Linked DNA regions of Rattus norvegicus. The protein of the gene in region 1 interacts with the protein of each later gene in a pairwise test. Links are inferred from orthologs where the notes say so. Each region holds a gene or a part of one and is shown in the gene's direction. Other genes may lie near its edges.

What was found.
Region 2: the proteins of Ube2e3 (region 1) and Rnf111 interact in a two-hybrid assay, tested with the Homo sapiens proteins (2 studies listed by BioGRID and IntAct). The link is inferred for Rattus norvegicus from reciprocal best matches to the Homo sapiens genes UBE2E3 and RNF111.
Region 3: the proteins of Ube2e3 (region 1) and Rnf167 interact in a two-hybrid assay, tested with the Homo sapiens proteins (2 studies listed by BioGRID and IntAct). The link is inferred for Rattus norvegicus from reciprocal best matches to the Homo sapiens genes UBE2E3 and RNF167.
Region 4: the proteins of Ube2e3 (region 1) and Mul1 interact in a two-hybrid assay, tested with the Homo sapiens proteins (2 studies listed by BioGRID and IntAct). The link is inferred for Rattus norvegicus from reciprocal best matches to the Homo sapiens genes UBE2E3 and MUL1.
Region 5: the proteins of Ube2e3 (region 1) and Cnot4 interact in a two-hybrid assay, tested with the Homo sapiens proteins (3 studies listed by BioGRID and IntAct). The link is inferred for Rattus norvegicus from reciprocal best matches to the Homo sapiens genes UBE2E3 and CNOT4.

The regions. Positions count from the first base shown.
Region 1 is NC_086021.1:84,192,209-84,198,011, forward strand, and holds the start of Ube2e3 (ubiquitin-conjugating enzyme E2 E3), read left to right. Parts: upstream 1-2,037; 5' UTR 2,038-2,388; intron 2,389-3,491; 5' UTR 3,492-3,520; coding exon 3,521-3,714; intron 3,715-5,497; coding exon 5,498-5,548; intron 5,549-5,803. UniProt on the Homo sapiens protein: Accepts ubiquitin from the E1 complex and catalyzes its covalent attachment to other proteins. In vitro catalyzes 'Lys-11'- and 'Lys-48'-, as well as 'Lys-63'-linked polyubiquitination.
Region 2 is NC_086026.1:80,001,093-80,006,389, reverse strand, and holds part of Rnf111 (E3 ubiquitin-protein ligase Arkadia), read left to right. Parts: intron 1-3,438; coding exon 3,439-3,694; intron 3,695-5,297. UniProt on the Homo sapiens protein: E3 ubiquitin-protein ligase. Required for mesoderm patterning during embryonic development. Acts as an enhancer of the transcriptional responses of the SMAD2/SMAD3 effectors, which are activated downstream of BMP.
Region 3 is NC_086028.1:55,857,056-55,862,884, forward strand, and holds the start of Rnf167 (E3 ubiquitin-protein ligase RNF167 precursor), read left to right. Parts: upstream 1-2,198; 5' UTR 2,199-2,810; coding exon 2,811-2,894; intron 2,895-2,970; coding exon 2,971-3,051; intron 3,052-3,074; exon of another isoform or gene 3,075-3,961; intron 3,962-4,182; coding exon 4,183-4,308; intron 4,309-4,406; coding exon 4,407-4,494; intron 4,495-4,656; coding exon 4,657-4,747; intron 4,748-4,926; coding exon 4,927-5,032; intron 5,033-5,142; coding exon 5,143-5,236; intron 5,237-5,824; coding exon 5,825-5,829. Other genes in the region: Slc25a11 (mitochondrial 2-oxoglutarate/malate carrier protein), read right to left, coding at 18-69, 147-246, 331-421, 515-605, 779-985, 1,071-1,223, 1,748-1,842.
Region 4 is NC_086023.1:155,934,431-155,940,155, forward strand, and holds the start of Mul1 (mitochondrial ubiquitin ligase activator of NFKB 1), read left to right. Parts: upstream 1-1,681; 5' UTR 1,682-1,780; coding exon 1,781-1,900; intron 1,901-1,929; exon of another isoform or gene 1,930-2,105; intron 2,106-5,618; coding exon 5,619-5,706; exon of another isoform or gene 5,707-5,725. UniProt on the Homo sapiens protein: Exhibits weak E3 ubiquitin-protein ligase activity. E3 ubiquitin ligases accept ubiquitin from an E2 ubiquitin-conjugating enzyme in the form of a thioester and then directly transfer the ubiquitin to targeted substrates.
Region 5 is NC_086022.1:64,777,967-64,784,011, reverse strand, and holds the start of Cnot4 (CCR4-NOT transcription complex subunit 4), read left to right. Parts: upstream 1-2,579; 5' UTR 2,580-2,771; intron 2,772-2,957; exon of another isoform or gene 2,958-3,422; intron 3,423-6,045. UniProt on the Homo sapiens protein: Has E3 ubiquitin ligase activity, promoting ubiquitination and degradation of target proteins. Involved in activation of the JAK/STAT pathway. Catalyzes ubiquitination of methylated RBM15.

The DNA.
Region 1 (5,803 bases):
ATAGCCCCAATAGTTAGTTTTGTTTTTTTTTTAACTTTAAAGAAACTTTTATTACATAAAGGTTGTCCTCACATAAATGAATACTTCTCTAGATCCTGTGGACCTAGCACAGGGCACTTCTCGACTTTGTATACAGTTGTTTCCACTCTCCACAGAAAGGCTGCTTCTGAACCAGTTACTTTTTAATTGGTGGTCAATATTGTTCCAATCCCATTTTCATTCTCCTGTAATAAACCATTTCTCAGTCTTTATTTTCTTTCTGCCCAACTACACACTGAGCAGTAATAAGTACATCACCAACTGCTTAAGAATTTGGTAGTTCCCAAGTATTCTGACGATCGGACTCCATGAATCCAAACTCACCAAATAAACTTCAGGCTACTTCTAGGGTATTGAATTTCCCTCAGAAGCCAAGGCTGCCTCCCCAAACAATGCCCAAACTGGCAGGCTGCTGCTCTAGAGCCCTTTCCTTAATGTAGTGTTGGGAGTTTTCTGATTCAGACCCCGTCCATCTGAACCCTTTCATTCAGTCAAATCAAAGTGTTGGGGCATTGATCCACAGACAGATCACTATCTCTCTTCTGACACGACTTTGTTCAAACTGGAATATCCTTCCTTCTTCCCATCCAGGTGAATGTCAGTGATGGGGTCTCTTCCAGACTTAGACCTCTTGGCAGGAAGTGAGCAGACTTGGCTCTGGACACACTTTTGGAAGGAGTTTATGTGCCTAGCATATACTAGCATATAACCCGTTTGTGTAAGTTTGCCAAATGGGTGTCTTTGAAGTTACAGATGTGACTTATTTAGTTTCGAGTAGCCTTTTTACCAAAGCTTTCCTATTTGGAGGAAAACTCGTATGTTGGCTCACTCTCTTTTTTCTTTCTCTTGCACATTGTCTTATCTCTTATGGCTCTGCTGTTCTAGCTTCTTCTGTGAACTCATTCTCCCAGCACCCCTGCCCCTGGACACTTGTGGGAGAGGAATGCACAAATTCCTTTGAGGTTCCATCACCGGAACATGGTCTCAGGAGCTGCAAACAGGAAGTTTCTGTACTTCTGTCTATTTTGTGCTTGGGGCAAAAGTGGCCTCCATTTGAAGATTCTGCAAAAAGAAAGGCAGGAGTAAAGCCACCTTCAGGATCCCTATCTAAAACTTTTAATGAAGACACTGCCTTAGAACCCTCCATGGATTCTCTATCCTTAAGTGGTGACTCTCTTGCAAAGCAGAGCCTGCCGCCAGACCTGTCAGATTATAACCCCTAAACTTCCTCACTCCACTTTGTACATCTTGAGCGGGACATTTAAAAAACAGTTTGGGATTTTTTTTAGTTTTCAAAGCGTCCAGAGGGCAGTCCCCTTTGGCAGCGACATTGCAGGATGGGAGCCAGAGATTAGCTGATGTTGGTCCCCTGGTCTCGAAATCCCATCCACCTCGCTGAGGGCCCAAGACTTTTCTTTACCTTGCCACACTTCTTTCAGCTCAGAGGGGCCAGAAGCAGCTTTCCTTTGCCTGCGTGCCTGGCCTCCTCAATAACACCATTCATCTCCTGCCTCTCAGGGCACCGGGGAAGCCCCAGCCACGCGCCAGGGTTCTCGCTCAGGTACGGGATTCCCGGGTAACCGCCCGGCCCTAACCTCAGGGGCGGGTAGTCCAATGGGCAGCGTCGGCCCGGAGGCGGGCTCAGGCCGGAAGCCACCCGCGGCCCCGCGAGACCGCGCCCCCGCCTCCTCCTCCTCCTCTTCCAGTACGAGCTCGGCGGCCAAGGGCGCAGGGGCCAGCCCGCCGGTCCCCGCCGCGCTCTTTGTCCGGGCCGCGCGCGGGCGGACGCGTGCGCATCTGCCCCCACCTCCCCAACCCCCCAACCCGGTGGAGAGGAGGCGCGGCGGGAGCGCGCTCGCGCGGGGGCGCGCGGGAGCAGCTCGCGCCCCCTCCGTCAGGCAGGCGGCGAGCACGCGCGCTCCGCCGCCGCCGCCGCCGCGCCCGCCCCTCCCCCGCTCGCTCGCTCGCTCGCTCGCTCACCCGCCCGCCCGCCCGCTCGGAACTTGCTGACTGCGCGACCGGGAGGAGCCGAGCCGAGCCGAGCGGGGCGGCGGGAGGCTGAGCGCGCGGGGGGCTCCCGCGTCCCTGCGCCTCGGCCGGCGGAGCGCCCACCCCACCGTGGCTCCCGGAGCGCGGGGCGGCGCCACCCTCCGGCCGCAGCGCGGCACTGCACGGCCGCCTGCGACTTTCGATGTTCCACACTCCCGGGCCGGAGCCTCGGCGGCGGCTTTTTTTCCCGCCCCCCCGGTCCCCCCCCCAGGCTGCCTCCATTTCCTCAAGGAAGGTTCCTCGGCGCTCTCCCTCCCCCACAGCGTAGCGGCGCACGAGCGGGCCGGGCGGGCGGCCGAGGTAAGGCGGCGGGGCCGGGGCCCGCGTGGGGGGCGGCGGGGGCGGGGGCGGCAGCTTTGTTCGCGCCGGGCGCCGCGCTCCTCAGTCAGCCGCGCTCGTCAGTCAGCGGCGCGGGGCGGCGGGTCCCGCATCCCCCGGCAGGCGGGCGGGCGGGCGGGCGGGCGGGCGGGCGCAGTGGCGCGGTCCCCTGCGCGGCCCTCCCCACAAAGGACCGCGGAGCTGCGTGGCCCAGCGCTAGCCCCGGGGCGGGCGGCGCCAATTTGTTGCACTTCTGGGGGTGCGGGGTGGGGGAGGGCTTTTGTTTGTTTGTTTGTTTTGCCCTCGGGCTTTTGGCCGCTTTGCGGATTTTTTTTTTTTTTTTTGACAAAATGTCGGTCGGTGAGGGAGGAATTGAGCGGGGAACGTCGATGGCACCCGGAGCTTTGCAGAAGGTGCAGTTTGGATCCTGCCCTTCCCTGGGTGGCAGCTCGGGCTTGGCCCGGTGAAGCCTCGCCGCCGGCCGTGGGGACGCCTGTGGGGTGGCTGCCAGTTGGATTTTTTTTTTTTTTTTAATTCGAGTGCTGTGTTCAAAGGCTTTCGGTGCGCACGGGAGGACCCGCCACCGTAAATAAGCATATGGGCGACTAACTGGGTATGTTTCCCTCTGGGAAGGAGGATTTGGTAGCTCAGACCGGTGTCAGCCTGTAAATATTTAGACGGCATTAGTGACTTCTGAACATTCTCAGCGAGATCTGTTATTTACAGTTGTCATATGTTATTAATGCCCGTTGCCCAAGTTCCCTGGCAAATCTGTTTCATGCCTTCTGAGAAAGTAGACAATTGATAGATTGTCTAAGGGATGGGGAAAAATGTGAGTGGGTTTTCTAACTTGCATTTGGTAAATCCCTCAACGACTGCATTATAATACATGCCAGGCTCCCTGTAACCTTGCTGTACCGTAATAATTACAGGGACTTTCGAATCCTTTTCAATGAGATACTCTCAAAGGTGCTTATTGAGAGAGGAGCATGCTGCTGGGCTTGCTTTCTTTCTTTTTTCTTTTTTCTTTCTTTTTTTTTTTTTTAAAGATCTAATATTTCTCTATGGGTCCCTTCTCTCCTTAGAAGTTTTTCCCAGAGATAACTTCACCAAGATGTCCAGTGATAGGCAAAGGTCGGATGATGAGAGCCCTAGCACCAGCAGTGGTAGTTCAGATGCAGACCAGCGAGACCCTGCCGCTCCAGAGCCTGAGGAACAGGAAGAAAGAAAACCTTCTGCCACCCAGCAGAAGAAAAACACCAAACTCTCTAGCAAAACGACTGCTAAGTTATCCACTAGTGCTAAAAGGTAATGTCTACAAGGGAGGACTCACATTGTCAGCTTGACTTCCCTCCCATTGGTTGCTTTTGTTGGCTTAACTTCAGTGGCAGTAGTTCAGAAATACTTCTCCATCAAACGTAAACGTATTTGAACTTGAATGAGCTGTCATTCTGCGTGTGGCGTGTGGCGTGTGGCGTGTGTGTGTGTGTGTGTGTGTGTGTGTGTGTGTGTGTGTGTGTGTGTATACAGTTTTCCTAGCACTATTGACTTTAAAGCAAGTGTACTTTGTTCTGTACTATGGTATGGTAACTCGAGGATCGTCTCCAGAAGAGCTGGGGCTCATTCTGACGGATGAAGGAGTTGGCAAGGGAAATTTGGCGAACCCAAATTAGATGGTCCATTGGAGAGCTTTCCTTTTGTGAGTCATGCTTGGGTGAAATTGACAAATCTAGAGGCCAGCAGTGCTTCTCTCCATAAAATTGAATGGTCAGAAATGACAATATTTACCAGAAAATTGGTCAATACCAGGCTTGGCCATGGTGGAAGGCAGCTCTTAAAAGTGTGCTTAAATTTTGCTTACAATTTGTAGGAAGAGGACTGAAGTCTTGCAGCACAGGCGCAGCCGTGGGTGCGCTATTATTATTCCACCTTCTTGTGAGGGCAAACACAACTCACAAGTGGCCAGTTACCATTTTAGGTGCTACCCAGTGACTGAAACCACCCCGTCCTTCCTCCTCCTCCTCCTCACTCTAGCACTGCATGAGCTTGACAGTCTAACAACAGGGGGAAAGTCCAAAGTGAAAGATCATTTGTTCACGATTGGCTTGAATTTTCTGTGGTGACTGGAAAGATTCTGCCAGTGGAACTCCCAAGTGGTAGCAGTGTTGGGTTGTCCAGAGAAACCAGTGATTAAGATGAAATGTGCCCACTTTACCCAGGACAGGTGTTTCGTTGATTTTCGTAGGGTATAAATGAAGGAAGAAAAATGTAAAAACTGATCAGATGTTACATTTTTATTGTGATTCAAACTTTAATGATCACTCAAATGCTAACAGCTTTAGAATATTTTATTAACCAGGAACACTATTTGAAATAATCTGAAATGTCCAATTTGTTGTAATCTTGTGGAGGAACATATTAAACATGTTCCGAGTTTTGAAAAATACCCTGAATTTGAAGAAAATCAGCCAGTTGCCTTTTGCTTATATATTTATCTATCTTCTTCCCCACTGCAGATTTATTGACCCTTAAAGGTGTATCTAAAATCAGAGAAGACACACTCATAGCTAATATGAATGCTACTTTGAAATTTTCATTGGCAAAGATATTTACAAATTTTAAACTTTTCTGAGAGCTAAAATATTGCCCAAATCATTAATATGCTCTTGTAGCAGTCTATTAATTTTTAGCTCAGTAAAAAGTGACTTGAAGTCATTGTCAAATTCTCTGGTGTTTTCCCTCCTCCCTTTTTGTCTCATTTGCATATAAGCTTGAAAAGAGAATTTCTTTGGTAAAAAATGTTTTTTAATAGATTATATATCCTTCACTGAGTAGTCAGAAGGGGCTATTTCCCGAATCAGGTGTAAATGACTCACTTATTTACAGTTGCACGTGAGAAAAAGAGCCGCAAAGTTTCTGCTAAGGGATTTGGGTTATGCCTCTGAGAACAAAGAGGAAGCAGCCATGTTAGCATTACTGAAGGCAAAGCCAGCCTTGCATTTAACTGCATGGTGGTAGAGGGCAGTGTAATTCCCCGGTTGCTCTGTAGACTACCTCAGATCCTTTTGGTTTGTTCTCATTTCACTAACAGAATTCAGAAGGAGCTAGCTGAGATCACCCTTGATCCTCCTCCTAACTGCAGGTAAGAAATAAATTCTGTTGTTTGGATATTCGGGGATGAATGATCGCGCATGAACCAACGTTACAGCCCAAGAAGCTGGCTGCATTCGTTTCCTTTTATCTTTTGAAGTGCACCAACTAAAAGTGCACTAACTACATTAACTAAGTAAAAAGGGGAGAAAAGAGACTCTGGCATGTACACATTGTGCGCTTGTGAGTACAGGATTTTGTGCTTTTGAGATTAGTGTGATGGTGCTGATTTTGCTTGTGTCTGGAG
Region 2 (5,297 bases), on another chromosome or scaffold:
TGAGTCTTGGTATACAGAAAGTTAAAATTATTACAAACAGTTAAGGGGAAAAGTAGACATGATAGCTATCGTAAAATTCACTTGTCGGGTCATGGATATGGCATGGTGAGTAAGAGCACTTACTGCCAGGCCTGACCTGAGTTCAGTCCCTGGAACCCACATAGTGAGAAGAGAGAGCCAATTCCTACAAATTGTTCTTTGACTTACATATGCATGAGCACTGACACTCTCTCTCTCTCTCTCTCTCTCTCTCTCTCTCTCTCTCTCTCTCTCTCTCTCTCTCTTTCAGTGCAATTAGAAACAAAAACAAACCCAAAAGATACTATTTCAGGGAAGTTAATATAACTTTTAGTTGTCATGTGGCTGAACAGAGCCAAGATACCTTGAGAAAGGCTGCCTTTCTGTGTCTCTTGACCTTTCCTGAAGCACCAAGTTTTGCCTTTAAATTTTGCTGGCTGTCTCTTTTGGGACAATAATGGAGAGGTCTTCTCCAGTAGGAATTTGAAAAGAGTTAGTTTAATAATGAGCAGGATTTCAGATGTTGTTTTGCTTCTTTGTGTTAACAGTTCAGGATATTAAATGGTTATCTGAAGCTTTTGTACTTCTGGGGAAGGAGGTATGTTGAAGGCTCTGCCATAAAGGAAAGCCTCCTTTTACCAGCAATGGGAGTTGAAAGGAGAGGAAGTTAACTAGAGTTGTAGGCCATGGCAGGGTAGCCCCACCAGCTTCCCCATTCTTGAGAGAGCTCCCAACAAAGGAGTTTATCACATAGTGTTCTCTTGTTGTAGTTGATAAGAATACAGTTGGCTAAGAGATAACTTCAGTACTCTGAGATACAGAATGCTCTGAGTTCAAGGACAGCCAGGGCTACACTGGAAAAATCCTGCCTTGAAAAAGGAGGGAGGTCTGAATTCAAATCCTAGCAACCACTTAGTGGCTCACAACCATCTGCAATGGAATCTGATGTCCTCTTCTGGTGGACACCAGATATAATAAATATTAAATATGTACTCATATGTAATAAATAAATCTTTTTTTTTTGGAAGCTGGGGAATAAATAAGTCTTAAAAAAATTTTTAAAAAAGAAAAGAAAAAGGAGGGAGGTGGGGACAAACAGAAGTCAGACAGAAAGGTAGCTAACCCTAGTACTCGAAGCAGAAGCAGGTGGATCTCTGTGAGTTCTAGGCAAGCCTATTCTATAGAGTTCCAAGATAGCTAGGAATATGTAATGAGACCTTGACTCAGAAAATAAAAGATAAAGGTGCAGGTGAGATTGAATTACAGAAACAATGCTTCCTTTTGCTCAGAGTCAGTAGGTGACTGTCTTTACCAGTTCCAGTTACCTTAAAACAGTGGTTCTAAACCTGTGGGTCATGACTCTTTCTGGGGGTTGGACAACCCTTTTTTTAACAGGGTCACCTGAGACCAGTGGAAAACACAGGTATTTCCATTACAATTCTTTTTTTTTTTTTTCCTTTTCTTTTTTTCGGAGCTGGGGACGGAACCCAGGGCCTTGCCCTTGCTACCACTGAGCTAGTAAATCCCCAACCCCTACATCACAATTCTTAACAGCAAACTTACAGTTAAGAAGTAGCAGCGAAAGTAGATTAATGATTGGGTATCACCATAATATATGGGACTGTATTTAAAGTGTTACAGCATTAGGAAGGTTGAGAACCACTGTTTTAAAGGAAGGGATAGCTTATCCCAAAGTTGTCTCATGGACAGCAGACTGGTGTTGTTGATAGGGATGAACTCTAAGAACTGTCCTCTCTGCCTCCCCAGTGCAGAGATTACAGGTGTGCACTTAGCTTTTCGTGTAGATTCTGGAGGAATCAAACTTGTATCCTCATTCAGAACCATCTTTCTATCCATGTTTGACACTGGTCAGGGATAAGATCTTCACTATGTAGGCTAGGCTCACCTTGCTTCTTTTACCTGAGGGCTAGAGTGACAGGTATATCAACCACACCTGGCCAGATCCATTTTGAAAGCACAACTGTACTGAACCTAACTAGTAGACATTGTGTTTAAAATACTTAAAAATATCAACAGTAAGAACAACCCAACAATTATTTCTTTTTTCTTTTTTTTTTCTTTTTCTTTTTTTCGGGGCTGGGGACCGAACCCAGGACTTTGTGGTTCCTAGGCAAACGCTCTATCACTGAGCCAAATCCCCAACCCCCCAACAATTATTTCTTTGTAATCTGCTTTAGAGTGAGACCCAAGTGTTCCTGGGGGTTTTACATAACTAACACATAGTTATGTCTGTTTCTCTAGATGGTAATTTTGATACATGTATATAATGAATATGTGAAGATCAACAGAGTAGCCTCATGTCTATCACAAAAGTCATCATTTCCATGTAGGGAACATGAAGACTCTTACAGCGGAACATGAAGACTCTTACAGCTATTCTGAGATACTCATTGTTGTTGGCTGTAGTTACCCTACTGTGTACTTTGAACTTTTCAAGTCACATACTTTAAGAGGAGAAAATGTTAACTCTAACCCACTTGTATATGTCAGGCTGGCCTCTAGTTCAGAGTCTTCCTACCACTGCCTCCCAAGTGTGGGACTGGAAGCTGTGGGCCACCATGTGCTGCTTGGTTTTCTTTTCTTTTCTTTCTTTCTTTCTTTTTTAAATCTTTTTTTCCATTGTTAGTTTTAATCTGTTATAAAACAATGTAGAAATTTTTGACAGATTGTTACTAGAATTCTGATATTTTCAGTGCTGTGATAGCATACTGTCTCTGGAGTCCTGGTTAGAATTTCAGAGTAAAGAAGGTGTGCTTTCTTTCTTTCTTTTTTTTTTTTCCGGAGCTGGGGGCCGAACCCAGGGCCTTGTGCTCGCTAGGCAAGCGCTCTACCGCTGAGCTAAATCCCCAACCCCGAAGGTGTGCTTTCAAACCTTGTGTTCTCAGTTGTACATAATATAAGAACAATCAAATCTTTAATTTGCTTTTCAAATTTTGTGTGTGTGTGTGCGTGCGTGTGCGCGCGCATGCGCGCGTGTTCTTGCTTGTCTTTATACACCTCATTCTTGCATTCATGTCCATGCCTAGAAAAGGGCCTCAGATCCTCAGATCCCTGGAACTGAAGTTTCAGGCAGTTGTGAGCTACCTGCTTTGGATACTGGGTATTAAACCTAGGTCTTCTGCAAAAGCATCAAGTTTTTAAACCATTGAGCTATCTCTCTAGCCCCAAGAAATAAATCTTACAGTAACATTAATTGTTTATCTTATATTTTATATTTAAAGCTCTAGCTTTACATATTATTTTCTTTGTGCTTGATTTTGTCATACAAAGAATTGCCATTTCCAAATTCATCAAAGACCTTGTTTTTCTAGAGAACTATAGGGATACTTTTTTCATGTGACAAGAAATGATGTTTTCATGAAACTTTAGAAAGGTAAACTCTAATTGTTCTTTACCCAGCAGGCATTGCCAGTCGATCTGAGCAACAGTGCTCTCAGGACTCATGGAAGTGGGGGTTTCCATGGTGCATCTGCCTTTGACCCTTGCTGCCCTGTCTCTTCTTCCCGGGCTGCAGTCTTTGGCCATCAGGCTGCTGCAGCCCCAACTCAGCCATTATCAATAGATGGCTATGGCTCCAGCATGGTTGCACAGCCCCAGCCCCAGCCACCTCCACAGCCTTCTCTCTCATCATGTCGGCACTACATGCCACCTCCTTGTAAGTATGAACTGAGGGGCAAAGAACTAGAGTGTGAAAATGGAATTACACCAGTCCTAGCTTATCAGTATTAGTCAGCTTTAAAAATGGACTTATTTTTCCCATATAACTGTCTATGAAATTGAGATGTATTGAGTGGTACCTTATATTCTTACACAAAAAAAATTTTTTTTTAAGGAATTTGGTTTAAGAGTATGAAGAAATGTGAAAACTTTGTATCATCTCTAGGCACAGTAAAGGAAATCTGTTCAAGAACTCTTAAATTTTATTCAAATATTTCTGAGTCAACTAAGACATAAGAGAGAGGGCTGTGACAGAAGGTCTTGCCATTTGGAAAAAGAGTTTTATATATCATCTCAAATGGGCAGCTACAGCAGAACCAGGCATAGCAGCTATATAAGGAAACTGGAATCTACTAGATTGGGCTATATTACCTAGTATTTTGTTCTTTTTGTTCTTTTTGGTTTTTTTTGTTTTGTTTTGTTTTCCGGAGCTGGGGACTGAACCCAGGGCCTTGCGCTTGCCTAATAGGCAAGCGCTCTACCACTGCGCTAAATCCCCAACCCTAGTATTTTGTTTGAGTCTGAGCTAACTATAAAATGGAAGCTTAACAAATCCTGTTAATAGCTCACGTGAGAGTGGACCAGCGAGTTAGTAAGGAAGCTGTCTTTCATATTGGTTGTGTACATTTCTGTTATTTATCTTGACTTTGTTCTACTTCAGGAGTAAAATCTCTTCCTTGCAGACACATCTGGTAGAATCAGGCCAAACTTTGAACAATAAAACTAGTGACATATTATTTGAGCCTCACTATTACAGTATAAAATACAAAGTTTAAGTTGGAACGTGTTTAGAAACAATTTGTTTTGCAGTTAATGTGAACACTGAGACAACAATGAACTATTCTGTTAAACTTGCTGCTGGTCCTCAGGCCTCCCCTTCCTACTCAGACCTTCTGTGCGGCTTCCTGTCTTTCCCTTATCTATGAGGCAGAGGATGTAATTTGACTGCTGCTATTTGACTTAAAGTAGTTTTATCTTTATCATAAAAGTGTGTCATATATATTCTACTGTTCTTTCTTTCTTTCTTTCTTTCTTTCTTTCTTTCTTTCTTTCTTTCTTTCTTTCTTTTCTTTTCTTTTCTTTTCTTTTTTTTTTTTTCGGAGCTGGGGACTGAACCCAGGGCCTTGCGCTCACTAGGCAAGTGCTCTACCGCTGAGCTAAATCCCCAGCTCCTATTCTACTGTTTCTAAACCAGAATATTGTAAAATGAAAAACTAAAAGTTCTTTTTCCTGTCTCATTAATCTTAGTTCCTCAGAGGAACTAGTTCTTTAGAGTTTATTATAAAAACTCCCAGATTTTTTTCTTTGTAAATATACATAAGTATTCTACCCTTTAAAAAACATTAGCCTTTTCATTATACAGCATCCTGTTATTTTCTTTGATTTAACAGTACATTATTTTCTCATCATACTGACTCATAAAACTCAGTAGTATTTGTCTTTTTCATTCCTTTCCCTTACTTTTTTCAAGAATTGAACTCAGGACCTCTGGAAGAGCAGTCAGTGTTCTTAACCGCTGAGCCATCTCTCCAGCTCGTTAC
Region 3 (5,829 bases), on another chromosome or scaffold:
CCTCCCTGCCTCCTCACCAGCCCATTCTTGTACTCTGGCTTCCCATCAATCATTCGCATATTTTGGATCCTGAAAGAGAGGAAATATGAGCATGAAAGATAGAAGGGGACCCTCCCGGAGCTCTCCATCCCAGGCTAGAGACTCACCTAGTTTTGACAATATCCACAGGCATGGAAGCAGCAGTGGTGACCAGGCCACTGATCATGCTGGCGCAGAAGTGGCACAGAATGTTGTCAGAGAAGTAGCCTGGGAGGTGAGGCAGAAGGAGGTAGTCAACTCTCAGGTAGCTCAGGCCGGACTGGGCAGCAAATGCTCAGCCTGATCTCTCACCTGAGTCCAGCAAGAATTGCTTGGATTGGGAGTAAGAAGCAAGTTGGGCAGCATTGACGACAACAGCTCGAGCCATGGTAGGGATGCAGCCCTGGAGGTGGGAAGATGGAGACAACAGAGACAAGAGTCAAAAAGGCCAGAGATCTAACCCAACATCCCCTAAGACTCCAACCCTTTCGCTCACCCGCCACAGTGTGGGGACTCCTTCTTCCCTTGCAATTCTAATTAGGGCATTAAACACATTTTTGTAGCCACGGCGCTGGTCAGCTGGAAGCCTGGGGGAAGGGCAGGGAAAGGCCAAGATCAGGACAGCCCATGGTCCATAGGATCAAAGAAAGGGAAGCCTGAACAGTTAAGTGCCCTGATGTAGACAAAGACAAACGACAACAAGGAAATCATCCTAGATTCCAGGAATGGGGCTGGAGTTCAGCTTAGCCGTGGAACTCACCGGCCATCAGCAGTCATCCTGATGAGGGCCACCTCAGCTGGTGTTCCCACAAATGCACCAGTTGCACCTGCAGTCATGCCAATCAGGGCTTTCAGGAGAAAGCCAGGGGGTGTACCGTCAGCCCCAGTCAGGCGCTCAAACAACACTGTATATATACCAAGACGTGTAGTGGTGTAGGTGGCCTGGCGCAGTAGGCCGGCTGACAACCTGTGGAGTAGAAATGTCAGCACATCCGGCCAAGGTCTGAACCTGCCAACCAGCAACCTCCCTCCCCAACTTGAGGCCACAGTACCCAGTGTAAATGCCCCTCAGCCCTTCTGCCTTCAGGATGCTAGTGAGGGCATGGAAACTGGTTTTGTACTCTCGAGTCTTGGCGCCTTCACCACTCAACTGCATCCGGTTCTTCACCAGGTCCAGGGGCTGCACAAAAACGGTAGCGCCCATCCTTAAGTAAGACAGGGAAGAAATCAGAGGTCAGCTGTTCCAGCTCTACTGTAACCTGGCAGCAAGAAGTTACAAAGGTCAGGGACTGACATGCAACTAAGGATTCAGGAGGCTGGTGGGAATGTGTTTAAGTGTGTGCATCAAGGGAAATGTGCCAGAAAAAGTCCAGTTGCCCAGTAAAGACCACGCAAATCAAAATACTTCGGGCAGTTCTTTAAGGTTCAAGCAGAATTAGGACTACAGGAAGTCTAAGGAAGGGTGGAAAAGGTGTCCTATGATAAAGCCTTTAGTGGCCTCGACCCACAACCCAAACAGGCACAGTGAAGCAATGGTGGTGGAAACACGGGGCAATGACCCTTGAATACAGCCCAGTTGGGCCCCTGCAATGGGTGAATAGATCTTAGCAACCCATCAGGGACCCCGCACCGGCTCAATTTACTGCAACATACTCCCAAGTTGCACTGGGCCCAGTTGCTTGCTCCCATCCCTTCCTCCTTTTTCCCCAATCCTGGGGCCTGAGCTTACCCAGCCAGGCCCCCAAACAGGAACTTGACAGACTTAGGGGAGGTACGGGGTTTCCCGTCCATCCGGCCAGCCCCGGGACTCGCCGTCGCCGCCATCGTCCCTTGATGGCCCTCGGCTTTGGGTCCCGTGCACGCACAGCCCCGCTCGCGCCCAAGGTGACACCAGCGCGCAACAGGGGGAGGGCGCGCGCGCGCACGCCCCTCCGACAGGCAAATCTGGCTCCAGCTGGAAGCTAGGGCGGGCGCAGGCTCGTAGCGCAAAGGCAGCCGGGAATAAGGCGGGGCTAAGATGCAAGGCGAAGGGGCGTGGCCGATTTAGGAAGCTACCCTGTAGCTCCCGCCCCCCAGAATTGGAATCGCGGGAAAAATAGTTTGTTTGAAAATATCGCGAGAGCAAGTGAGTCAGTCGAGTTCGAGCTATGAGGCCTCTCGCGGTAATTTCCAGCGGCGAAGGAGGGGGTAAGAGGCTGGTGAGCATTCTCGCGATACTTGAACGTATCGCGGCGGCCAGAAGAAGGAGAGGTTTGTAAACAGGTAGCTCCAAGATCTCAGGGACTAAGGGAAAAAAATTAGATCGTTTGCTGAGCACCGGAGCTCCCTTCATCTCCGCAGGCACGCTCTACGTGTCGAACATTTCTTTCAACCGGCCTTTTTGGACCGGAAGTCCTCCGTCCTGAGCGTCCAATACTGGAAGCGGCCTTTCTTACCGGAAATCCTTTTCCAGGGGCATAGGAAGAAGGCCTACCTGGCCGGAAGTCCCACCTCCTTGAGATTTCTCCCACCCAGAAGTTATTTTTTGTTACCTGTTTGCCTTCGTTCCTATTCTGTTCTACTTCTGTACCAGAGAAAGATACATTGTCTCCCTTTCCACCTCCACTAAGCTGGTTTGATAGCTCACTTCCCGAATCGGAGTTCCTTCCCCGACGCCCCCATGTAGCTGAGAAGTGGGACCTAGGGGTGGTTGGACCCCTGGGATCCTGAAGGAGAGGCAGAGAAGGCGCAGGACTTGGCTTCTGCTCCTGCTATCAGGACGCGACCTTCCCAGCTTTACCCCTCCTGCTGCCATGCACCCTGCGGCCTTCCCGCTCCCTGTTGTTGTGGCTACTGTGCTGTGGGGAGCAGCCCCTATCCGAGGGCTTATTCGAGCGGTGAGTCTGAGGGTCGGATGGGGAAAGGGTGTTGAGAATGGGTTTCAGACTGGAAAATGTACTGTTTTATCTGCAGACTTCGGAGCACAATGCCAGCATGGACTTTGCAGACCTTCCAGCTCTATTTGGGGCCACTCTGAGCGATGAGGGACTCCAGGTGATGCTTTCCTCATTTCCCTACGTGTATCCTGGGCAGGGGTTAAGTATCCGTGCTCAGGAGGTAGGAAATGGTTGAGATAGCAGTGGAATACATTGGACTGTGGGATACAGTTCAGTGATAGGGTGCTTTTCCTAGTATGAGTGAGATTCTAGGTTGAATCTCCAGCAACCCTCCCCTCCCCCGAAAAAACATGTGCATGATCGTGTCCAGCCCAGAGTCCAGAATCTAGAGATAAAAGACAATGTCCACCCCTAGAACTCCCAGGTATTTTTTTACTTTATGTACTTAGGTGTGAGGGTGTCAGATCCCCTGAAACTGGGAGTTACACTCAGTTGTGAGCTGCCATGCCACATGGGTGCTAGGAACTGAACTCAAGTCCTTTAGAAGAACAGCCAGTGCTATTAACCACTGAGCCATCTCCAGCCCCTAGAATTTCCAAATTTAAGAGGAAGTCTGAGAACAGGTTAAGATAAGGAACAGGTGCTTATCAGCCATGTCTCTGGAGCTACTTACTATCTGCATGGATGGCTGTGGACAGTCTTTTATTGGAAAACAAGTAATAGAAATTAGTTTAGGGCTATTGTGCTAACTAGTGAGATAAGCATGTCTGTAGAGTTCATTACGAAGTTCTTGCCACATAACTACTGCCACAGCAGTAGAGTTGTAAGATGGCTAATTGGAAAACGAAGCAATTGAATATGCTGTGAAAGTCAAATAAGTAGCAAGCTGAATCACTGTCCCTGGGAAACTTAAAAGCAGAACTAAACTAGCCTTGAGAAGTCAAGGGAGCCTCTGGGTAAAGGGATGTTGTTTACTGTAATTGCATCTTCAGGAAGCTAAGAGATCTTTTCTGTTTTTTTGAGACTGGACTCTAACTCTGGCTGTCCCTAACTCACCGACCGTGCAGGTCAGGCTGGCCTCCCAACTCATTGCACTCCCACGTGCTGGGATTAAATGCATGTATCACCATGTCTACCTGAGTTGTAGATTCTGATTTGGGTGGGACCACAAGAATGAGTAATGGTAGAGTTGCCGAATACAGGTAGTATGTGTACTGTTATGTTTAGTAGGTCCTGTGGAAGACAGAATACTAAAAGATGGAAAAATCTGTTTGCCTTTATCCCTCAGGGGTTCCTTGTGGAGGCCCACCCAGAAAATGCCTGCAGTCCTATTGCCCCACCACCCTCAGCCCCAGTCAATGGGTCAGTCTTTATTGCACTGCTTCGAAGATTCGACTGCAACTTTGACCTCAAGGTTGCTGAATGGGGAACGGGTGGTAGTAAGCAGGGTAAAATGACACCAGGAATGAAGAAAGGCAAGGTTTGCAACTCTGTCCTGCTTTGTCTTTTTAGGTCCTAAATGCTCAGAAAGCTGGGTATGGTGCAGCTGTGGTACACAACGTGAATTCCAATGAACTTCTAAACATGGTGTGGAATAGTGGTGAGGATGAAGAAGTCTGTACTGCTGGGTCTCTCCATATAGTTCAGTGGGAGGGCTAAAGACCTACAGGGCAGTTGGTTGAGACCTGCAAAATGTGCCTAAAGCCAGTTTCAGGGGATTGAGGAATGGAAGGTTAAATCCCTAATCTCCTGCTCCCTACAGAGGAAATCCAACAACAGATCTGGATCCCATCTGTATTTATCGGAGAGAGAAGTGCAGAGTACTTACGAGCTCTTTTTGTCTACGAGAAGGGGTAGGACATATGCTTTCTTCCGTCTTCTTTTGGGTTCCATGCCAGTCTGGAACCCAACTTCACTGCCCTATCCACTCAGGTTCAGGGTCTTCCTCATCTGTTTTGATTTTCTCATTTATGCCTTGTCCCAAGCCAGTAACCTTAGTTTGCCTGGCTTGAGACTGTCTTTTTTTCCTCAGGGCTCGGGTGCTTCTGGTCCCAGACAATAGCTTCCCCTTGGGCTATTACCTCATTCCTTTCACTGGGATTGTAGGACTGCTGGTTTTGGCCATGGGAACAGTATTGGTAAGTACCTAAGGAAAGAACTTAGAAGGTCAGACTGGATCTGTAGATGGGAGGTCTTATTGGATTTTCCAGTTATTTCTTAAGCCTGGTCCACTTTTCCTTACCCCTAGATAGTTCGTTGCATCCAGCACCGGAAACGGCTTCAACGGAACAGACTTACCAAAGAGCAACTGAAACAGATTCCTACTCATGATTATCAAAAAGGTAAGGGCAGGGTTGGGGATTTTAGCTCAGTGGTAAGTGCAAGGCCCTGGGTTCAGTCCCCAGCTCCGAAAAAAAAGAGAAAAAAAAGGGTAAGGGCACTGGAATGGGACCCTTTCTCCTGGCTGCCCTCGCCTTGAAGGATTTTTGAGCCCAGTAAGTAGACCAAGGGTTCAAAGAGCCAGAAAGATGCCCCCTTTGGTTGTTTCTTACCAACAACTAACCACAAGCAAAGGAGCTAGGGTAGGACGGGCTAGAAAGCAAAGATGAACAAAGGAAATTTCTGGCCTTGTGTATGGGGGTGTAGAGTAAGATGTAAAGAGCTGAAAGAACTCAGAGCAGGTGAGGGCTTGGGTTTTCTAGACTTGTAGCCTCTAGGACCATATAAGGTTATAGCAAAAGCCTTGCCCCTCCCAGTTCTGCTTCCCCACCCCCACAACCCACTTCCCTTATCTCTGCTTGTCCCCTCTAGCCCCAAGGTTTTATGTGCCCTAAGTTTGCACTGGCATAAAAAACTGGGGAAATAAGCCTTGTGTAGTGAGCTTTCTTAGGTTTGATTCCCAGCAGCTCAAAATCCTTTCCCTTTCCCAGGAGAT
Region 4 (5,725 bases), on another chromosome or scaffold:
TGCTAAATCTCAAGCAGTTGCTAAGATGCCCCCCCCTCATTTGATATGCAAGATCGAAGATGCCTTGGAAGGAGTTACAATCTAGAAACCCCAGGGCTGCATAAGGGGGCTGGTACATGCAGGTTGTCTGTAAAGGAGGTTTCTGGTGAGATTCCTAGAAAATTGCAGGTTTAAAGCTGGGAAGGGAGGAAGGCCTTGGGCAATCGTTAATGGTGCTGGAATTATTTTTTACATTTCTTTATTTATTGTGTACATGTTGGGAATATATGAGCCATAGTCTGTGAGCAGAGATCAGAGGACAGGGTTTGACCGTTGGTTCTCTCCTATCCCAGGCACTGAGCTCAGGTTTGACAGCAAGCGCAAAGCTTTACCGGCTATTTTACCACCCTTATGCTGGAATTCTTTTCTGGCGAGAGGCTTTGACCAAACTGCTGAATGAGGGACTTGTTTTTCCTGTCCCAACATTTTTCCTGCCTCAACAAATATTTCAAATTTTATCCAATCAACTGACTATTGCCATTAGATCATTTTCATTCTTTTGTTATTTAAAAACAACTCAAAAGAATATTGATTTGGGTCAATAGATCTATTTTGAGGAATTTAAGAATAACCTATAGGACACTGCAAGGAGAACTCAGGCTTTGCAGACAGATGTGCTGGCTAAGATTTGCGGCGTCTCTTGGTTGTTTTAGGAATCAGATGCTGGAGAGAAGTTGAAAGAGTTCTCGATTAAAGGTCTGATCGCATTTATACCACCCCCAACCCCCGTTTTTTTGAGACAAGGTTTCTCTGTGTAGCCCTTTCTGTACTAGACCAGGCTGGTCTTGAACTCAGAGATCCTGTCTTCCTGTGCTGCTTGAGTGCTGGACCGAGGGTATTTCTTAACCTGAGCCCATTTTCCCTCCTGAAGCCTGTACCGTGGCAGTGTTGAATGCAACAAAAGGTGGTCTGGAGGGGCTGGGGCGGAGCTAAGTGGAAGAACACTTGAAGCCCTGGGTTTGGGTGGACATGCAAGCATGGGACATGACATATAATAGTCCCCCAATAAAAACAGTTGCAGTTACTACTAAATAAACAGTATGCTGGTTTTGGGTGGCGATGGTAGAGTTATTTTAGCGATTCAGCTGGTGTAGAGGTTAAAGGTGGACTCTCCAGTTCTCCTCAGCCCTGACCATGTTCCCCATCCCCTCTGGCTGCAGTTTCTTCATCTTTAAAACCCAGGTTTCAAGGTTCTCCGATAGCTTAAAGCATAATGCTTCTTAGTGCTTAATACACATTTTACTTGGCTCCCCATATGATGGCAACGACATCAAATAATCCAGCAAGAGCTGGAGAAACAACTCAGTGGGTAAAGGCGCTTGCCACTATGGCTAAGAACTTGAGTTCCATCCCAAGGACCCATAAAGTAGGAGAGAACGGGACTCTCATATAGAGTCCTGCCCTCTATATGTGCACCAAGACACGCTCTCATAGGATAAGATGTCATTTAACGATAACAGAGCAAGAAAGTCTAGAAACCCGGAAGGAGCTCTCCCACGTGATCACAGCCAGCGCTTGGAACGTTCACGGTCCTCCTGGGATCCCTCCGGTTTCCCTTGAGGCCGCAGTAACGTCGCAACCACCTAGGCAACGTCTTCGGGTCCCCTTCGCCCCATCTCGGTGTCTACTTCCTGCGAGTACGTCATCAACGGGCGCCCGGCCTACGGTTTCCGGGAAGGGCTGCGCAGCTGCGTAGGGGTCGCGGGTGATTTCGAGGCAGCTGGCGCGGCTCGGGGTCGCCATGGAGAGCGGATCGCGGCCGTCACTCGGTCAGGTCATCCTGCTGGGCACCAGCTCGATGGTCACCGCCGTACTGTACTCCATATACCGGCAGAAGGCCCAGGTCGCCCAGGAACTCAAGGTCAGTGCGGAGTCCGCCAGGACTCGCTGGCTGCTCGCGCCCGGACGCACTGGGGAACCACTGGGTCGCCAGAGGGGACCCCAGCCACCTGCTGCATCGAGGCTGCCCCGCCCCTTTGCTCCGGTGTCCTCCGAGTTACCCTCAGTGTCATTGGACGTCACCGCAGTGCTGTAAAGCTATTTCTCGAAAACCTGCTGTGCACCAGGTAGTGAGAAAAACAGGCCATTGTCCTGGTGGAAATTCCATTCTAGGATAGCGGGACGTCTACACGTAATCGGATCGTGTGATAGGGTGCGAATCGGGTTGGAGTAGCGTAGAGAAAAGTGGAAGGGATAGGGAAACGGAGAGTTCCGTTTCTTTTGCTATAGTAAAATATTCTGACAGAAAGCAACTTAGGAGACGGAAAAGGGTTGTTTACTTTTCAGTTTCGGGTTACCATTAATCATCGCAGGGAAATCCAGGCAGGAACTTGAGGCAGCTGTCAAATCAAACAAACGCATGCGTGCTTAGCGCTCAGTTTGATTTCTCTACTGTTCACCAACCCAGAGCCCAGACCAGGGAATGGTGTCAGTCACAATACAACAGGCGAGTTTCCCCGCTTTTGTTAGAGCTGTCAGGACAGCATCTTAACAACTATGCCTACACAGGCCGACCCGATATAGACAGTTTCTTATTGAAACACTCTTTCCAAATGATTCTAGGTTATGGCCAGTTGATAGTGGGCGTCGCTGTTTTTTTTGGGATGGAGCTGGAGGATGTGGAGATTGGGAATGGCGGGATGATTCTAACTCAGAGAACAGCAAACTTAGAGGCTCCTGGTTTCTACAATCGTATTGTTACTTTAAAGTGTACTTTAAAACTACCTTCTCATTTGAGGGTTGCACTTAAACACCTCACAGCACACATTTCCGTCTCGGTTTTATTTTTGTCAGCTCAATGGTGACAGTGGGTATTTCCTGATGATTGCACATGAAGACATTTGACATTGAAAGGAAAAGTCTCACAGCTAGTGTTAACTGTCAACTAAGCAGGATCTGAAATCACCTAGGAGACAAGTTTTCTGGGTGCACCTGTGAGGCTAGTCTCCATTAGGTTAATTTTGATAGCAAGATTTGCCCTGAAAGTGGGCAGTGCTGTTCTCTGGGCTTGGGTCCTTGACTGTGGAAAAGGGAGAGAGTGGGCAGAACAGAGATGTCCAAGGCTCTGTTTCCTGAGTTTGGATATCATGTGACCAGCTGCTTTACGCCCCTTTACCTCGACATTCTACCTTAGTCAGAATTGCTCTTAAGGTGATGAGACACTGTGACCAAGTGATTTGGCTTATGCTTCCAAATCACTGTTCATCTAAGTCAGACAGAACTCAAACAGCACAGGGGCCTGGAGGCTGGAGCTGATACAGAGGCCATGGAGGATGCTGCTTACTGCTTTGCTCCTCATGGGCTGCTCAGTCTGCTTTCTTACAGAAGGGGAATCACTAGCCCAGGGGCAGAGTCACCCACAATAGACTGGGGCCCTACCCTCAATCTCTAGTTAAGCTGGGTTTTAGGAATTTTTCTCAATTGGGGTTCCCTCCTTTCAGATAATGCTAGCTTGTGTCAAGTTGATGTCCAACTAGCCACCTCCCCAGATTGATTGAGCATATCCTTGAACCGTGAAAAACCCAAATAAACACTTTCTCCCTTAGGCTGTTTTCCTCCCAGTATTTTATCACAGCGAGAGGCATTGAGACTAAGCCAGCTTGGAACTTAAATTTAGGTTTTTGGGTTCAAGGGTAGTATAACAGGCCAGACGGGAGTGAAGACTTCTATTGTGTCTTTCCCATTGACTATCAGACTATTGAAACAGTGGACTCCAAAAAATTGAAACTTCCCCCAGGAAGTTCCTGCTGCTGGGAGAAGGAGAAGCCAAGGACCTAGGGGTAGCCATAGGGAGAACTTGTCAAGATGGCCTTTGTAGGAAGGACTGGGTCTGAGGCCGTGATGCTGGGCAGGACCATATCTTAACCTGACTGCTCAGTTATGCCATTTAAGCCTTGTTTCCTGCAGGAGAGATGGCTCAGTTTAAGAGTACTGGTTGCTTTTTTTAGAAACTGTTAGATTATCAGCACGCACATGACAGCTCACAAATCATTCCTGACTCCAGTCCCAGGGGATCTTTTGGCCTCTGTTGGCTGTCAGGCATGTACATGGTACACAGACCTACATGCAGGCAAAAACACCCATATAATAAAAAGTAATAAAGTAACATTTTGCAAAGCCCTTACGTTTGTGTGAGGACCCAGAGGTAAAGTTGGGGTCAAGCCACTGCTATCTATGCCCTCGCTTGCTTTTCACTGTTGATTTAGCCTTTTTAGTTGGCTTATTTTTTTTTGTTGTTGTTTTTGTTTGTTTGTTTTGTTTGTTTGTTTGTTTTTGGAGCTGGGGACTGAACCCAGGGCCTTGCGCTTCCTAGGCAAGTGCTCTACCACTGAGCTAAATCCCCAACCCCTTTAGTTGGCTTATTAAGGACCAGCGGCTGAGGCTGGCTAGTTAGGAAGACAATGGCATGGCTCTGGCCGTAACTCCGGCAACACTATGCTCTTTTCTCCTTTCTTAGTGGACCGCATCGCTTTGTGGCACCTGTCAAGCCGACTCAGAGAGATAAATGCATTCGACAAGCAGTAGATGCTCAGTGCATGTTGGTGGTTTTATTTTTGCTTGAATTTCACAGTCCATCAGCCAGGGGCTCGTTGTAGCATTTGTATGGAAGGTAAACTCTGGAACCCACATCTTCTTATCACCAGATTGATTTCAGTAAGGGCCCAGAAACAAAACCGTGGAGTTCCTGCAGTGAAAAGGGTTGGATCAGAAGTTCACAGTGCTAACAAGGCAGAGGCAGGTGGATCTCTGAGTTCAAGGGCATCCTGGTCTACTTAGTAAGAGGCCAGCCAGGGTCACATAGTGAGATCTTGTCTCAAAAACAAAAACAAGCCAAACAAAACCAAAAAACCAAACACAAAACCAAAAACACCCAGAGTAACCAACAGAACATGTTGAAGGGCACCCTCAGATGCACGCTTTTCTGGGCCAGCCTGTGGTACCTGAGACTTAGTTCCTAAAAGAGTGAAATAACCCTTCCTGGGGAAAGCCGTGGGAGCCCTAATGTTAGATTTTCACCTGTTGGTCAGAACGAAACTGAGAGAGCTGAATTTGTACCTTACTCTGGTGTTTTTGTCGGTGACAAGAATGCTTGATTATTTTACGGCTTCCATGTGTCAGCTCTGGACTGTATTTTCCCATACCCCAAAGTTCATTTCTCCCACCTAAAGAATTCCATGAGATGTCTTCTCCCTTCCTTTAGAGTTTTGGAAGCAGGCTCAGAGGAGTGAAGCTGTTCGAAATCATCAGGGATACCCTGCAGCTTGAGCTAGCCTGGCTCTGCTGAGGTTCCTCCTGCAGGGTGCCAAATGGTTAGCGCCTTGTTTATTTGAATGTAAACGTATTCACGTGAAGGGAGTGTTTTGTTGAATTGGAAAGCAGATGGTGACATCTCCAGTCTTGGGGAAGAGGAGCCCAGAGCACCTGGCCTAATCACGTTCATGTTTCAGGGCCAGATTTCAAAACTGGAGCCTCCAGATTCCCCTCCTGTCGAGCCATCCCGCTCCCCACCACACCTTACGTCTGGTAGAGCATGTCAGTATTCAGTGGCCAATTTAATATCTATTTATTTTTGCATTTAGGGAGCTAAGAAGATTCATTTGGGTGAAGATTTAAAGGCCATTCTTTCAGAAGCACCGGGAAAGTGTGTGCCTTATGCTGTCATTGAAGGTGTGTTCACTTGTTTAGG
Region 5 (6,045 bases), on another chromosome or scaffold:
AGCTACACAGAGAAACCCTGTCTCAAAAACAAAACGAGGGGGCTGGGGATTTAGCTCAGTGGTAGAGTGCTTACCTAGGAAGCGCAAGGCCTTGGGTTCAGTCCCCAGCTCTGAAAAAAAGAACCAAAAAAAAAAAAAAAAAAACAAAACGAAACAAAAACCCCAAACAACAACAAAAGTGGCATTGTTTTCTAGTGTTGGGCACTCATAGTATAGGAACCCAGGGTGCTACCCTTCCTGCAAAAATGGGAGAACTATTCTTCATGATTTTATTTGAATTACCACTTTATGTCCCTCATGACTGTCAAAGGAAAACATCTGTGTATGATTACACGAATACAACTTACATCTAATTATCCAAAGTCTAACTTGCTTTACACATGAACACAAAGTTGTTTGTGTTTTTAGTTCTGACAAATAATGAAATAATGAAATAATTTAATGGTGTAACTAAGGGTAGACAGGTGTTGTCCACCAGAGAGAGAGACCAAAAAACACCTGAATCAGTTAGTATTTATAACTTTCACATACATGAAGATTTTGTTCCAAATGCTAGAAAAATGACGATTGTATTATATTTTTGGGACAATCATGTTTATGGAAATATAGACTTTACTGTATTTTTTTTTTTTAATTTATCTTTTGGAATTGAACTCAGGGTTTTGTACCAGGCAGGTACTTTACCATTTAGCTATGTCCCAGGCTTTACCTTTTTTTTTTTTTTTTTTTAAGATTTATTTATTCTATATAAGTACATTTTAGCTATCTTCAGACACACCAGAAGAGGGCATCAGATCTTATTACAGATGGTTGTAAGCCACCATGTGGTTGCTGGGATTTGAACTCAGGACCTCTGGAAGAGCAGTCAGTGCTCTTAACCACTGAGCCATCTCTCCAGCCCACCTTTTTTTACTTAAAAAAAAATAAATTTTTTATTTAGTTTATATATGTGAGTACACATCCCTCTCTTCAGACACACCAGAAGAGGGCATCAGATCCCATTTACAGATGGTTGTGAGCTACCATGTGGTTGCCGGGAGATCTCTGTAGCCCCTAACTTTTTTACTTTGAGACAAAGTCTCATAATACTATGTCCAAATGTGTGCTTCTTTTTATATTTTTTAAATATTCTTCAGCAATTTCATACGTGTATAAAATAAAATTTGGGTCATTTTTATCCCCGTTCACTCCCCCACCTCCCCTATAACCTCTTTCTTTTCTCTTCGATACCAAAGAAACCGGTCTGGCTTTTTTGTAATTTTTTGTTTTTGTCCTCCCCCCTCCACCACCACCCCCGACAGGGTTTGTAGACTAAGCTGGCCTTGAACTCAAAAAGATCCACCAGCTGCTACCTCCAGAGTACTGGCCTATGCCACTATGTCCAGCGACACTGAGATTTTAAAACTTCAATTTCTTTCCCTACTTTTCCCCTTTCCTATTTTAAGTCCTCCCCTCCAGCCTTTTGCATTCAGACCTCAAGTGTGCCAGACTAGCGCTCTACCACTGTGCTGCAAGCCACAGTCCCATCCTATGTATTTTAACCCTGGATTTGAAAACTTGTGTCCTTTCACTTCTCCAAACCCCAGAATGGTGACTGACAGATTTGTGTTTGCTCTCTTATATTTTCCCGGCAAATGGTAAAGAACTAGGTACCAAGGAGCTCAGTACTTACATGAATAGGAATACAGGCACTAAACAGAACGACCGCTTCAGAAGCGCCACTCACACCAGAGTTCTAGGAGGCAACCCGGGAAGTCCAGTAAATTGATTTTGTTACTTAAGGTTTCTCGGTGCTCGAACCGGCTGCGGTTGCATTATGTCCTTTGAGACGTGTTTATTTGCGCAGTTTGCGAACCTGACCCACACATTTGTGCAGGCTGAACTCGTAGCCAACAAGAGTATGCAGTTAAGTCCACATTCTTTTCACATCACCAGCAACGCATGCTACTCTCTTGAGAAACGTGCACAAGGCAATTCAGGTATTTCTTCACTAGTGATTTTACCGTAAGGAGGATGAGCTCAACCGTACTGGTGTCAGGGCGCGCCAAGACCGGGAAACGAATTAACATTCACTTTCCCAAAAGTATCAAAGCCTCACTCTAGATCAAATCCCGCGCTCTTGCAATGCTCAACCTGATTCTACCGCCACACCGCCCCCGTCAGATACCTATCTACAGAAGGCGGGGCAGAAAAGACAGGTCCTCGCTTTCTCCGAATCAGTTAAGTTTCGTAGAATTTTGGTTTCCTACATTTCAGCTAACATTACTGAAAACCGCCGACCACATGACACAGTAGCCACACACGCGGGCAGAGGAGGAAGCAAAACAAGAAGAAAGCCGGCGCTCCAGTAGCCACGTGAGGAACGAGCTCCCGAGCGCCTTCTCTAGTGATGACTTCAATTCCCGGCCTGCCCCGGGGCGGTTACTATCGGAGGACTACAACTCCCAGGGTGCAGCGGACCAGTCCGCCGCAACCTCCCACTCGCCCGCCTGCCGCTTGTCCCGCCCCTCCCCCGCCCCTCCCAGCCGGATCGGCATGCGCCTGCGCACCGGAGGCCGGAGGAGTCTTACCCTAATGTAAGATGGTGGCCCGTCTAGCCGTGGAACCCACCGAAAGCTGAGAGTCTCTCTCTCAGCCGTAAAGGTCGGACTCACTGAAGCAGTCAGGCCCGGTTCTGAAGAGTTTTTTCGCCGACTCTCGTTCATTGGTCTCCTGTGAGGACTCGGCAACGCGTGGAGTCGGCTAAGAGAAAAGCGAGGCAAGGCAGGCGGGTGAGTGTCTGCGGGGCTGGGCTTAGGGGAAACCCGGCGCTGACCGGCTACGAGAGAGCGGAGGCTTCGCTGGGACTGTGCAGGCCGCACCCCCCTTTCTCCCCACCCCCCCACCCCCGCCCGCCTCGTCTTCACCCTCCTCCTCCTCTGGCTACCTCCTCCTCCTCCTCCTCCTCTTCCTCCCTCTCCCCTCTACGCCACAGCAGTTACCACCAGGAAAAGGCAGCCCGGCTGGAGGCAGCGCGGCGACGAGCGCCGGCTCTCCTTGGAGAATTTCTTCAATTGAGGACCCAAGAGGGCTTCTCATCGCCAGTTTTTCCCCGCATTTTTCTGGCAACAGTATCCTTAGGTCTTGGTCCTCCTGTTTCCCCAGCCCCCTTTCCCCTCTGACGTCCTTTCCTACTGGCCCCGGTCTCCCAAGCAATAGCCTTCCACTCTGACGGGTGCTGCTACTCACTGTCCACCCGTCCTGCTTGGTGCTTGGGGTTTTTTTGCCCTTTTTTGCCCCGTCCCCTCCACTGAGGCCGCTCTGTTTCTAGCCTCTGCCCCCCTCTGGTGCTTGCAAATCAGTCCCCAGTCTGTCTGCCAGACCCAAGTTGATTCCGACGTGCAAGTCTCCTTTAACCACATCTGTCATCTTAAAGCCACCTCGTGAGTATCTAAATCATGTTACTGCTCCGTTGCTCCGTGTAATCCACCTGTTTCTCAACCTACTTGAGAATTGTCGGCTCCTTCCCTCTTTCCTATGCAGATTCTTTGAGTACACATTCCCAGAAAAGAGGAGATGATGCCCCTTGTTGTTCCTTGAAAAGTAAAGGAAGTTAGGAAGTGAATGAAGTGAGTAGGAGACTATTAACGTTAAGAGAAAAGATCTTTCTTCAGGCTACTCAGGAAATGAATGTTTTGAGTTTTGTGATCTTTTCGTTGCTCATTCGCTGTCTTCTTAATTTCCGACCTTCTCCATGCCACTCAGCGCTCTCCTGAATTGCCTTTCCTCAGGACACTTGATGTTGGCTCTGATTATACCCATAAAGATCAGCTTAGCATTTCAAAACCAGGTGAATCTGGCACACACACACAGAATTCATCCGTGAACATCACATGCAAATACAAGTGGTATTTTGACTGTCTGCAGATTACAGATTCCTTTTGTATCAATTATTGGCTCCGTTATATTGATGTTATGATAATTGATAACATTTATTTCCCCTTTTGATCCGTGAAATTCCCTCTTTTGACGTTTCTAGGATAGGAATTATCAGAATAAATTGTATGGAAAAACACATTGGGAATGTATGTAAAAGAGAAGTTGATATTTTGGGGTAAACTTAAATTCCTTTTTTTTTCCATAGAAAAGAAGGGGGCTGAGAAAAGAAGTGACAAAGCTGTGCATATGCACGCTTTCTGTGGTACTTAGCTGTTATAACCTGTAGTCAGAACTAGAAGAGCAAGGAGTGGCTTATGGTCTCTACAGTACAGTGAACAGAATTGAAATGTACTAGTTTGCTTAACCAGAAGTTAGAGCCTTTGCTGTAATACACCACAGTGACATAAAGAATTACCAGAACAGCACAAACACATTGAACATAAGACACTGTGTTCTTAATATATATGTAAAAATATTTAAAGTCACAGTGACATTCTCATGATACACTATGTCCCTTATTTGGGGAAAAATATTTACAGCTTAAGTGTAAATACAAATGCAGTTCCTCTAGTCACTTTTGCACATTACTGAGTTATTGTAAGTTTTACATATTTCACCTGTAAAGCTTGAATATTCTTAGATTTGATATTGCATTAAGTTACTATGAAAAAGTCTTTAAAAATGTGAACTAATATTAGAAAAGCTGCTCATAAAGCTTCTCCTTCTTCCTCTTGTTTTCTCCTCCTCTTTTTCTTTCTTTCTTTTGTTAGACAGGGTCTTTATGTTAGCTCTGACTGACCAGCAATGTAGATTAAGCTGGCCTTGAACTTGTAGACATCCACCAGACTCTTCATCTTTTCACTTGTGGCCAGAGCTCTTTATTTCAGCCACTTAAGTCTCTATTTGGCAAAACTGAATAAATCCCTATTCTTCTGAAAATTGGAAGCATTTTAAATAAGCATACCTTGTTTTTAGCTATACTTTGAAGTTAAAGAGAAAATAATACTTTTCATTTAGCTTATCCATAACTTGCCTTTAACTCCAAGTATTAAGTAGATGCTGGTGGAAAAGCTTGCCACTTTGAACAATCTTGTCTAGATACTCTTGGCAGTCACACTCGGCTGAATTGTAAGCAGTATGTTCTAAGGAGAATACTGTTTGTCTGATAGAAGGAGGTGAATGATTTTTTTTTAATACATCTTTTCTTTTGCAAGACTATTTTGCTCACTAAATACCTTAAGTAATTTCTCCTTTTCTTCTAGCATAGAGAAGATGTAAAAAGTTCTTTGACATATTGACAGGAGGAAATATGCTGAAATTTATAAATATTTCTGTGTAGTTTTTATTTGTAACATATTTAACATGGAGGCTTCATGCTTAATGGTTTTCTCTGATACTTTGGAATTATTTCTGCTAATCAAGTAGTTGAAGTCTTCAAATGAATAGATTGTTTGTATAAGGATTTTAAACATGAGTCACTTAAAGTTGGTTTACCATATAATTTTTCTGAAACTTGCATCAACAAACCTTTAATTTGATTAGGATGAGAGATATAATCAAACAGCAAATAACAAAATAAAAGTGTTTTGTGACACTTGTCAACTTACTTCTAGATGGAAATACTAGAGATAGCTTGTAACCCATTACTTTGTTTTTGTGGTCTTAACTAGCACAGGCCATCCTGGAACTGACTGTGAAAGTTGTCTTCAAGCACAGGGCAGTCATCCTGCTTCAGCTTCCTTAGGCTGGAATTACAGAGTGAACCACCAAGTAACCAGTACTGGATAACTCATTAGTTTGTAAAAGACAGAGGCCATTGCCAAAGGGTGAGCTCCTAGCATTAGGAGAATTTTACTTATTTATTTGTGTGGCAAGACCATGGAGCTTCCTGCATGTTAAACAGTGGCTTTCAGGAGAGTGTTTCTGTAAAATGGATTTTGTGTCCTAAGAGAATGAAAAACAATTCATTTAAGTAGTTTGGATTTAGAAGCTTTTCTTTGTCTTCCTTCCTACTCCCTGTTTTAAAAATGAGGCAGCACTTTTCACTTTAATGTTTTGTTTTTTTTAATGTGACTACAAGTAATTCTTGATTCAACTTTGTTATTGTTTTTGTAGACCATGTGAGAT